Linked DNA regions of Macaca fascicularis. The main gene of each other region encodes a partner of the protein of the gene in region 2 in a complex. Links are inferred from orthologs where the notes say so. Each region holds a gene or a part of one and is shown on either strand. Other genes may lie near its edges.

What was found. The genes of interacting proteins can lie anywhere in the genome.
Region 1: the proteins of RAB8A (region 2) and RAB3IL1 are in contact, whole or in part, in a crystal structure (PDB 4LI0), measured with the Homo sapiens proteins. The link is inferred for Macaca fascicularis from reciprocal best matches to the Homo sapiens genes RAB8A and RAB3IL1. Residues at the interface, in NP_005361.2 of Homo sapiens: Lys10, Phe33, Ser35, Phe37, Ile43, Asp44, Phe45, Lys46, Ile47, Gln60, Trp62, Thr72, Ile73, Thr75, Ala76, Tyr77, Arg79; in NP_037533.2 of Homo sapiens: Arg104, Glu108, Leu111, Glu112, Thr115, Ala116, Phe119, Glu120, Ala122, His123, Arg127.

The regions. Positions count from the first base shown.
Region 1 is NC_088388.1:12,062,992-12,067,911, forward strand, and holds the start of RAB3IL1 (guanine nucleotide exchange factor for Rab-3A), read left to right. Parts: upstream 1-1,623; 5' UTR 1,624-1,715; coding exon 1,716-1,867; intron 1,868-4,703; exon of another isoform or gene 4,704-4,849; coding exon of another isoform or gene 4,850-4,860; intron 4,861-4,920. UniProt on the Homo sapiens protein: Guanine nucleotide exchange factor (GEF) which may activate RAB3A, a GTPase that regulates synaptic vesicle exocytosis. Promotes the exchange of GDP to GTP, converting inactive GDP-bound Rab proteins into their active GTP-bound form.
Region 2 is NC_088393.1:16,425,969-16,430,789, forward strand, and holds the start of RAB8A (ras-related protein Rab-8A), read left to right. Parts: upstream 1-1,801; 5' UTR 1,802-1,820; coding exon 1,821-1,944; intron 1,945-4,821. UniProt on the Homo sapiens protein: The small GTPases Rab are key regulators of intracellular membrane trafficking, from the formation of transport vesicles to their fusion with membranes.

The sequences.
Region 1 (4,920 bases), on a different chromosome or scaffold from region 2:
CCACAAATGTTATCTGCTTTAATACTCACTACTTCACAGGGGAGAACTGTTCCCATTTTATATAGATGAGGAAACTGAGTCCCAGAGAGGTTAAGTGACTTGCCTGAGGCCACACAGCCAGCGAGTGGCAGAACTAGGATGAGAATTCGGGCCAAATGAAGACAGGGTGGCACATTCACACCATCCCACAGATGGATGGGGTCTGTGTACCAGGCAAGGGGACACTGAGAAGGGTGACGAGGATGGCCCAGCCTCTGCGCAGAGGGCCACTCAGTTCTTGCGGGAGTTGCACCAGTTCCGTGGGGTGTTTGTCATGTGCAGGGCTAACCATGTGTCTGAGGGCTCTAGTGTCTGCAGAGGAAAAAAGTAACCCACAGGGGAGGGCTTCCTAGAGGAGGGGGTATGAACAAAAGAGAAACTTACCAGCAGAGGCAGGATGCAGTGGAGATTGCAGACAGGTGGGATAGTATGTGGAAAGAAGAGGAATGGGCACATCTGGGCAGTGGCAACTGGCCTGGTGTGCTTTGGAGGGTGAGAATCCATTTCATAGTTGGAGAAACTGAGGCACAACGAGGCTAACGTGCTCAAAGGCACACCGTCTGAAAGTGGGGTTGAATCCAGCCTGTCTGACCCTGGGCCTGTGCTCCCAGCTGCTACCACTGAGTTGTTCCTGGGTGGTGGTGGTGAAAAGTTTTAAGGGTAGCGAGACCCCGTCTCTCCAAACAAAAAAAAAAAATTAAAAATTAGCCAAGCATGGTGACACATGCCTGGAGTCCCAGCTGCTCAGGAGGCTGAGGTGGGAGGATGGCTTGAGCCGGGGAGTTTGAGGCTGCCTTCCAGCCTGGGTGACAGAGTGAGACCCTGCCTTGAAAAATTAAAAAAAAAAAAAAAAAAAAGACAAAACTAGGAATCTCAAATTTAAGAAAAAGAATTAAAAAATAATAATAATAACAGTTTTTTGTTTGTTTGTTTGTTTTGTTTTTTGAGATGGAGTTTCGCTCTTGTTGCCTAGGCTGGAATGCAATAGCACAATCTCGGCTCACCGCAACCTCCGCCTCCCAGGTTCAAGCAATTCTCCTGCCTCAGGCTCCCGAGTAGCTGGGATGACAGGCATGCGCCACCATGCCTGGCTAATTTTGTATTTTTAGTAGAGACGGGGTTTCACCATGTTGGTCAGGCTGGTCTTGAACTGCTGACTTCAGGTGATCTGCCCGCCTCGGCCTCCCAAAGTGCTGGGATTACAGGCGTGAGTCTCCGTGCCCGGCCAATAACAAAGTTTTAAGTGGATATTCAGGCTTGTGGTCACAGTCGGGAGGGCCTGTCAGGGCTCCACAGCCAGCTTACGACAGCTATGACAGGGTCAAGGCTGGACAGGCAGTTTCCAACGCCCCAGCCTGTGTGGCGAGGGGACAAGTAGACCATCTGGGAGCCTGGCTGAAACACGGGGCCTCCTCTTGAGGTGTCTCATCTCCCCTGGCCCAGAGCCCAGGAAGGAGGGCCCAGTGTCTTCTGCTGCCTGAGGAGCCACAGGAGTTAATAATTACGGGGTTGAAGGAGATAGCGGCTGTCCTGGGAGGTGGTGCCTCCCTCCCAGGCTGCTGCTCTGAGGAGATAGCAAAGGTTAGTGTGAGGCCCAGCCTAGTGGGGGGAAGAAGGCTCCTGCTACCTCCCTTCCCAGCACCCTCCAGAGGGACCCTCAGTCTGGCCTTCCAAGCATGGACTCTTCTGAGGAGCACGCCAGGTGCCCCGCCCGAGGGACATGCCCCGTGTTCCTGGCCATGAGTGCAGGGACTGTCCGCTACGCCCCATTAGGCCTGTGCCCTGCACTTGAGGGGAGCTTGAGAGAAGAGCCCTGGGGCACAGAAAGGTGAGCTCAGGACCTGCGGCATGGAGGGGAGGGGGAATCTTGGCGAGCTTCAGGGCAGCCGGTGTGAGAAGCTGGGCTCAGAGAGTCCTAGGGAATGGCTCTGACTGTCTTGTCCAATTTGGTGGCTGTAGAGAGGTGGAGACTGAAGCTCAGATAGGGCAAGACACTCGTCCTGGGTCACACAGTGAGCTGAGGTCAGACTTGTAAGTCCAGAATCAGGGCCTGGGTCATCCAGGCTGACTGTCTCCTACTCCTCAGCTGCCTTCAGCCAAGGGTCTGTGGTCAAGGCTGTCAGGCTTGGGATGTAGCAGGCAGAGGGGGATAGAGGGAGGGAGGGTCAGGAGGGCAGTGGCTTGTGGGCAGAGGACACAACTTTTTTTTTTTTTGAGATGGAGTTTCGCTCTTGTTGCCCAGGCTGGAGTGCAATGGTGCGATCTCGGCTTACAGCAACCTCTGCCTCCCGGGTTCAAGCGATTCTCCTGCCTCAGCCTCCTGAGCAGCTGGGATTACAGGCATGCACCACCACGCCCAGCTAATTTTGTATTTTTTAATAGAGACAGGGTTTCTTCATGTTGGTTAGGCTGGTCTCAAACTCCCGACCTCAGGTGATCCGCCTGTCCTGGCCTCCCAAAGTGCTGGGATTACAGACGTGAGCCACCGCGCCTGGCCCAGACACAACTTTTATTTCTCCCTTCCCTGCCACTGGCCAGGAACCTATAGCCTGTGCTCGGGAACCTCTTGCTGCCTGGCTGCACACAGCTGCAGCTGCCAGTGAGCTTCTAGTTTCTGGATGGTCTTTTTGGAAAACTGGTGTAAGAGGACTCAGCCCCACTGCCCCTGGCTGTGTGATATCTGGCAAGTTCCTTAACTTCTCTGAGCCCATCCTTTTTGGCTGAGGAGCAAGTTCAGCTGAGCAGTAGGGTCCTCCCTACTGGGGGAGGCAGTGAGGCCTAGGAGTCCATGGTAGCAGGAAGCATGGATGACAGGCTATTTTTGGTTAGAAATTGAGTGTCGATGCTTTCTGAGTGGTGACCACACACTTGTCCTTCGAGACCTCGCTCAAGGGCCTCCCCAGTCCACCAGCTGTCCCAGGCTGAGGACTCTTCCTCCAGGGACATAGCCCTGAGCTGACGCCTCCTCCACCCACTTTATCTCCCACTGGTCTGGGTTGCCATGACTTACCTCCTCCCGGTGCTTGTGAAGACTTGAGGGCAAGGGCCCTGTGCTGGGTTCCTTTTGTGTCATTTTCTCCTCCTTCTCTAAATAGTGAACAAAACAAGGGCCAGGAAGACAACAGTTGCTCAAGACCTACTGATGAGGGATTCAAGCCAGCAAACACATGTGGACATCTGCTTTGGGTGGGCCAGACCCTGAGCTGGGCTGGGGGCGGGGTGAGGGAACACAGCTCCAAGAAAGAGAGAATCCCTGCCCTCTGGAAGCCATGGCCATGGAAACAACTGCCCTGCTGCGTGATGGCTATGGGACGCCTGGGCTGAATGATTCTAGAAAGTTGGAAGGGATGCTAGGGAGAACTGCCAAGGTTGTTCACTGCACAAAATGCTGGCCAAGGGAGCAAGCAAGGCATAGAATCCAGCCTCGCCTCCACTCTCCAGATTCCCTACCTTGTTGTGCACTATGCCCAGTGGGGAAAGAGCACTGTTGTCTATTTGTACTCTGGACATGGAGGTCTTAGAGAATACCTCCCTCATCCTCCATCCTCCATCATGGAGCCCCAGGAGGGCAGAGCCTATGTCTGCACAGTTTCCTTCTGGGTCACCAGCCCTTGCATGGCCCATAGACTATGCTCAGATGGAGTGGCTGAATGTATGAATGAGTTGAATGAATGAATAAAATGTGTCCTCAAATGAAGATCTGACTAGCTTGAGCCTGGGGCCTGAGTCAGTGGGCCTGGAGGGGTTCAGCACTAGGACCTCTGGTAGCACCTAGAAGGGCAAGTACCTCCCCCCAAGCTCCCAGTCCTCCCCCAGACAGGGAAGGTGGGAGCCATGGTTCCTGGTGGGAGAGAAGAGGGGTTCTGCTCTTACTGGTCCAGTCCCAGGCTGAAGTTGAGAACAATGATCAGGACTCAGAATGGGTGGGACAGAGGAACTGAGGGACAGGTAGACCAGTGGTCTGGGATTCAGGGAAAGGTTTCACGGAGGATGAGGAACCAGACAGGTGTGCGTATGTGTGTGTGTTGGTGGGGGTGGGGTGGGGAATACTATCCAGAGGGCAGATGGTGGGTAAAGGCAGGGATGGGCACAGTGTGTTAAGAGGCAGGAGGCTGGGTGAGGAGAGTTGGACCAGAAGTGGAAACTCCTTCGGGGTAAAACTCAGAGAGTAGGACTCAGAAAACTTGTTTCGGGTTTGTCCCCTCCCCTTCCCAGCAGGCAGGATATTGCACAGGGACAGGCACTAAGCAGATAGACTAGGGAAGGAGTGCCGGTGAGGATGGGGGAGGGTGTCTGCTGGCCTTAAGTGACAATCTGTGTGAGAATCCAAGAGCTGAGAGCCCGGGAGCCATTGTAGGTTCTTGAGCAGGGGTGGCCCAAAGTGGGTGGTGCAGAGGGCGATTGGAGAGGACGAGTCAGCTAGGGAGTCTGAGCGCGGCGCGGGCCGCGGGATGTTGGGGGCCGGGTTCCTTCCCCGCGCCGCGGTCTCCTTGTCCCGGCGCGGCGGGCCGGGTGGGGCCGGGCCCTGGGAGCGCGCGCCCGATCCCAGCGCCCGGCCGGCGAGGGGCGGGGCCGGGCACGTGTCCTCGGGCCGCCCCCCTCCGCCACGTGACCCGCCCAGGGCAGGGTCGGGGCTGGGCTGGGGGCCGCGAGCCCAGGCAGCTGAGACCTACTGACCGGCCGCGGGCTGGGCTGACAGGCGGTGGGGCGGCTCGGCCCCGGGAGGAGTCGGCGGCTGGCGGGGACGCGGCGCGGGGAGGACGCGGCGGCGGCGCTGGGAACAAACGCCCGGGCGCCCCGAGGCGCCGGGATGTGGAGCGGGTAGGTCCGCGCGCGCTCGCGGTCCCGCGCCGGGTCTGGGCCGCGGCTGCCTCCCGGGAC
Region 2 (4,821 bases):
CGCCCAGCTAATTTTATTTGTTGTAGAGATGGGGGTCTCCCTATATTGTCCAGGCTGGTCTCGACCTCCTGAGCTCAAACAATCCTCCTGCCTCAGCCTCCCAAAGTGCTGGGATTACAGGCCTGAGCAACCACACCCAGCTGCAAGCCCGATTTTCCTAATGTATCTCTCCTCTTTTTCTTTTCTTTTTCTTTTTCATTTTTTTGAGACGGAGTTTTGTTCTGTTGCCCAGGCTGGAGTGCAGTGGCACGATCTTGGCTCACTGAAAGCTCCGCCTCCCGGGTTCACGCCATTCTCCTGCCTCAGCCTTCCGAGTAGCTGGGACTACAGGTACCCGCCACTACACCCGGCTTTTTTGTATTTTTAGTAGAGATGGGATTTCACCGTTAGCCAGGATGGTCTCGATCTCCTGACCTCGTGATCCGACCGCCTTGGCCTCCCAAAGTGCTGAGATTACAGGCGTGAGCCACCGCGCCCGGCCTTTTTCTTTTTTTGAGAGGCTTCTCGCTCTGTCGTCCATGCTGGAGTGCAGTGGGACGATCACCGCTTACTGCAGCCTCAAACTCCTGGCCTCCCAAAGCACTGGGATCACAGGTGGCAGCCACAGCCCCGGCCTGTTTTTTCAGTGTTGAGAGTCCTGGCCCCTAGATAGGAACAAGCATCCTCACTGTTCTAAAGCATCCTCACTGTTCTAAACCCCCCGGGCTGGCCCGGACAACTCCTAAAGCGGCCGAGGGCGGACCCTGAGGAGGCCGGCGCGCGCTTCGGGGCACAGCTTGTGGCGGTGAAGCCGCTCAGGTGGCGGAGGCCTTGGGTATCTGTAAGCAGGTCGCTAGGCCGCAGACCTCGGAACTCGTCTTGAGTCACTTTTATTTATTTATTTATTTTTGAGATGGAGTCTTGCTCTGTCGCCCAGGCTTGAGTGCAAAGGCGCGATCTCGGCTCACTGCAACCTCCGCCTCCCAGATTCAAGCAATTCTCTGCCTCAGCCTCCCAAGTAGCTGGGATTACAGGCGCCCACCACCACGCCCGGCTAATTTTTGTATTTTTAGTAGAAATGGGGTTTCACCATCTTGGCCAGGCTGGTCTTGAACTCCTGACCTCGTGATCCACGCGCCTAGGCCTCCCAAAGTTCTGGGATTTCAGCCACCGCGCCCGGCCCGGGTCACTTTTCGAGTATACAGTGTCTCCTCTCTCCTTCCTCCGTCGGCCCCCGCTGCCCCGACTCGGAGGCCGCAGATCAGGTTGAGAGCGCTACCATGGTTTCCCGCGCTCGCCTCGGGGCCTATTGCGCCTGCGCGAGTTGTGACGGCGGGACCCAGAGATACCCGCCCCAAGTACAGGATTGCGCCCTCTGCCGTCGCCTAACGGAACTCCGGGCGCGCGTGAGCACGCACCCCAAGCCCCGCCCCCCAGGCTGCCGGCGCGCGAGCCGTTGGCGACGCTCCCTGCGTTCCCTCTCCTGTAGTGGGGCGGGGCCGGGCCGCCCGAGTAGGGGGTGGAAGGCGGGGGCCACATAATGCCACGCCCCCGCCTCGTCCCCATTTGAAGCCCCACGACTCTTCACTGCTGGTCAATCAGAGCCCGTCCTCTCCCTAGTGCCGGCCAATGGGAGGTGCGCTCGGGCTGCTTCCGGCTCCGCGCTCCATTCGCCCCCTCCCCAGGTCTCCCCGCGACTGGCGGGACGCAGGGGCGGGCGTCGGCCGCGGTGACGCGCAGCGGGCCTGGAGCCAATAAGGGGCGGGCTCGGCGCTGATGGACGGTGCTGGTGGCCAGTGGAGAGGCGCTGGCCGCACTTCCCGTCGGGGAGAGAGTGTAATATGGCGAAGACCTACGATTACCTGTTCAAGCTGCTGCTGATCGGGGACTCGGGGGTGGGGAAGACCTGTGTCCTGTTCCGCTTCTCCGAGGACGCCTTCAACTCCACTTTTATCTCCACCATAGGTAGCGGGACCGGGGAGTGGCTGGGGGCGCCAGAGGCCCGGGCTGGGCGCGCCCCTGAGGGGCTGGGGCTGAGGGATCTACCGGGCTGGACTGGCCGAGGGCGCTGAGAGGGTCGAGGGGGCCTAAGGGGAGAAGAGCAGTCGCCTGTACCGCCGTTCGGGGGTTCCTGGGCCGTGGTGGGGGAGACCAGGTGCCCATTTTGCAGATGGGGAGACTGAGGCTCCGACCCTCAGCCCGCTCGTTAGGGAGTGTTATGTCCTGGGCTGGGGTCTTCGCGCCCGTCCTCTCGATCTGTCCTAGCAGCAGCCCTCAAAGCGGTTCTTTTGAGGCTCCTGCCTTACAGAAGTGGAAACTGAGTCATGGGGAATTGGCCATGGGAAAAAGACGGTAACATCTCACCTTAATGAGCATTTACTATGTGCCAAGTGCTTCCCGTGCATTTTCACACTCTCCAGTTCTCGGTGTTAAGTGCTGTTTTGAGCCCGTCTCACAGATGAGGAATTTGAGGCTCAGGGTGGGCCTGGAACTTGCCCAAGGCCACACAGTCTGCAGGTGGTGAGAATGGGATTTGATGGAATTTGAACCTGGCTGTGTCTCAACCCAAAACTCGAGGCTTAGCTATCCTAGAGAGATGCCACCTCACACTCCCAGCTGATGACAAGCTCAGCTAATGCACCTTGGAGCCGGAACTGTAACCCACACCATTCCTGCTCTTTTCTCTGGAGCATTCAGAAGTTGAACCCCTCTCCCTGACCATTCTTCCCCTCATAAGTGTATTTTCCTCTAGAAGGAATGATAAGAGGAGTCAGGACCTTTTCCCTGCCCACATTTCATCCTGCTCCAGGATGACAATAATGACAAGTGACAGCACTGCCTGCCCTGGAACCTGTCATCTGCAAGAAGATGCAAGATAAAAGCCTCAGCGAGCAACTAAATCAGCCACTGCCACAGACAGCCTTGACTTCCCTATCAAAGGGCCCAAGACTCCGGTTGTCACTTTAGAACAGCTTTTCCCGTAGGGCCAGCCCACATTGTGGTTGAACAGAATTGGCTTGGTGCATCTCAGTTGTGCCGTCTGCAGAAGTGGAACTGACCTCTCTCAGTGCCACAAAAGCAGTCCTGGCCCACAATGAAAAGGTTAGACCGGGGAGTAACACCAGTCTGAGTGGCCTGGGAGCTCTGTAGCCCTGCTAGGGATGGGGAAAATGGGGGAACGGTCACTAAGGAGTTTATTCCAAGTCACGAAAACGTAGGGAATGGCCTTTGCTTTACTGTGTCACTTCAACAGAATCATGTTTTCTCCCTGAACCCCACGATAATGTGCTGATTCCATTCTTGCCCCCCTCCAGGAGCTGTGCTTTTTTTATTTTATTTTATTTTATTCTATTTTATTTTATTTTATTTTATTTTATTTTTTGAGATGGAGTCTAGCTGTTTTGCCCAGGCTGGAATCCAGTGGTGCTATCTCGGGTCACTGCAACCTCCGCCTCTCGGGTTTAAGCAATTCTCCTGCCTCAGCCTCTCTAGTAGCTGGGACTATAGGCACCCGCCACCACGTCCAGCTAATTTTTGTATTTTTAGTAAATATGAGTTTCACTATGTTGGTCAGGCTGGTCTCAAACTCATGACCTTGTGATCCACCTACCTTGGCCTCCCGAAGTGCTGGGATTACAAGCATAAGCCACTGCACCCAGGATAGCTGTGCTTTATAAAACAGTTATATGCCTGATGTAAAGTAGAGAGAACTGACTGGAAATCGTTACGTCTGGTTTCCAATTGCTGTTTGCCCTTGAACATACACTGCCCCTCTCTGAGCCCTGCTGTCTTTAGAGCAGGAGTGACGCTGTCTCCTGGGCTAGTGCCCTGGTGGTTGAGGATTAGAATTAGACAATAAGGGGTTATCACCGTAACCAGAGGCCATCTCGAAGAAGCAAATGAATGAATGGCTCCTGCAGTGACAGCATCCAGCCTCTGAAGACAGATGGTTCTGAATTCTTCCCCCTCCCCAACTCCAAGGCCAAACTTTAGGGTAACTCTTGTGCCCCAACCGATCAAGAAGTGGCGTTAATTCAGCCTGGGCAACATAGCAAAACCCCATCTCTATAAAAAATAAAATAAAATTAGCCGGGCATACTGGCTTACCCGTATAGACCCAGCCACTTGGGAGGCCAAGATGGGAGGATTGATTGAGCCCAGGAGGTCAAGGTGCAGTGAGCTGTGATGGCGCCACTGCACTCCAGCCTGGGCAACAGAGCGAGACCCTATCTTAAAAGAAAGAAAGAAAGAAATTATGTTAACTGTGGGCAGACTGTGGCTTGCCTTCACTCAGATCCCAGTTTCCCGGCCTCAGCACCTTCCCCACAAACCCCCCCTCTTTTTTTTTGAGATGGAGTCTCGCTCTGTCACCCAGTCTGGAGTGCAGTGGCATAATCTCGGCTCGCTACAACCTCCGCCTCCCAGGTTCCAGCAATTCTCCTGTTTCAGCCTCCTGAGTACCTGGGATTACAAGTGCCCACCACCATGCCCAGCTAATTTTTGTATTTTTTTTTTTTTTTTAGTAGAGACAGGGTTTCACCACGTTGGCCAGGCTGGTCTCGAACTCCTGACCTCATGATCCGCCCACCTTGGCCTCCCAAAGTGCTGGCATTACAAGCATGAGCCACTGCGCCCAGCCCAGACCCCCCCTCTTTAGAGTTACTTTGAGCTTTAAAGAGGCTGTCTTCCATTTGCAGATGAGGATGTGACTTGGTGAAAGTTACCTAGCAAGGTGAAGGTGGCACCTGACCCCAGGATCCCTCCCTCTCACCCCTTCATTCCCCTCCTTCCATTTGTAGCCTTCTGTCTTCTAGGAATTTCTTTTTTTTTTTTTTTTTTTTG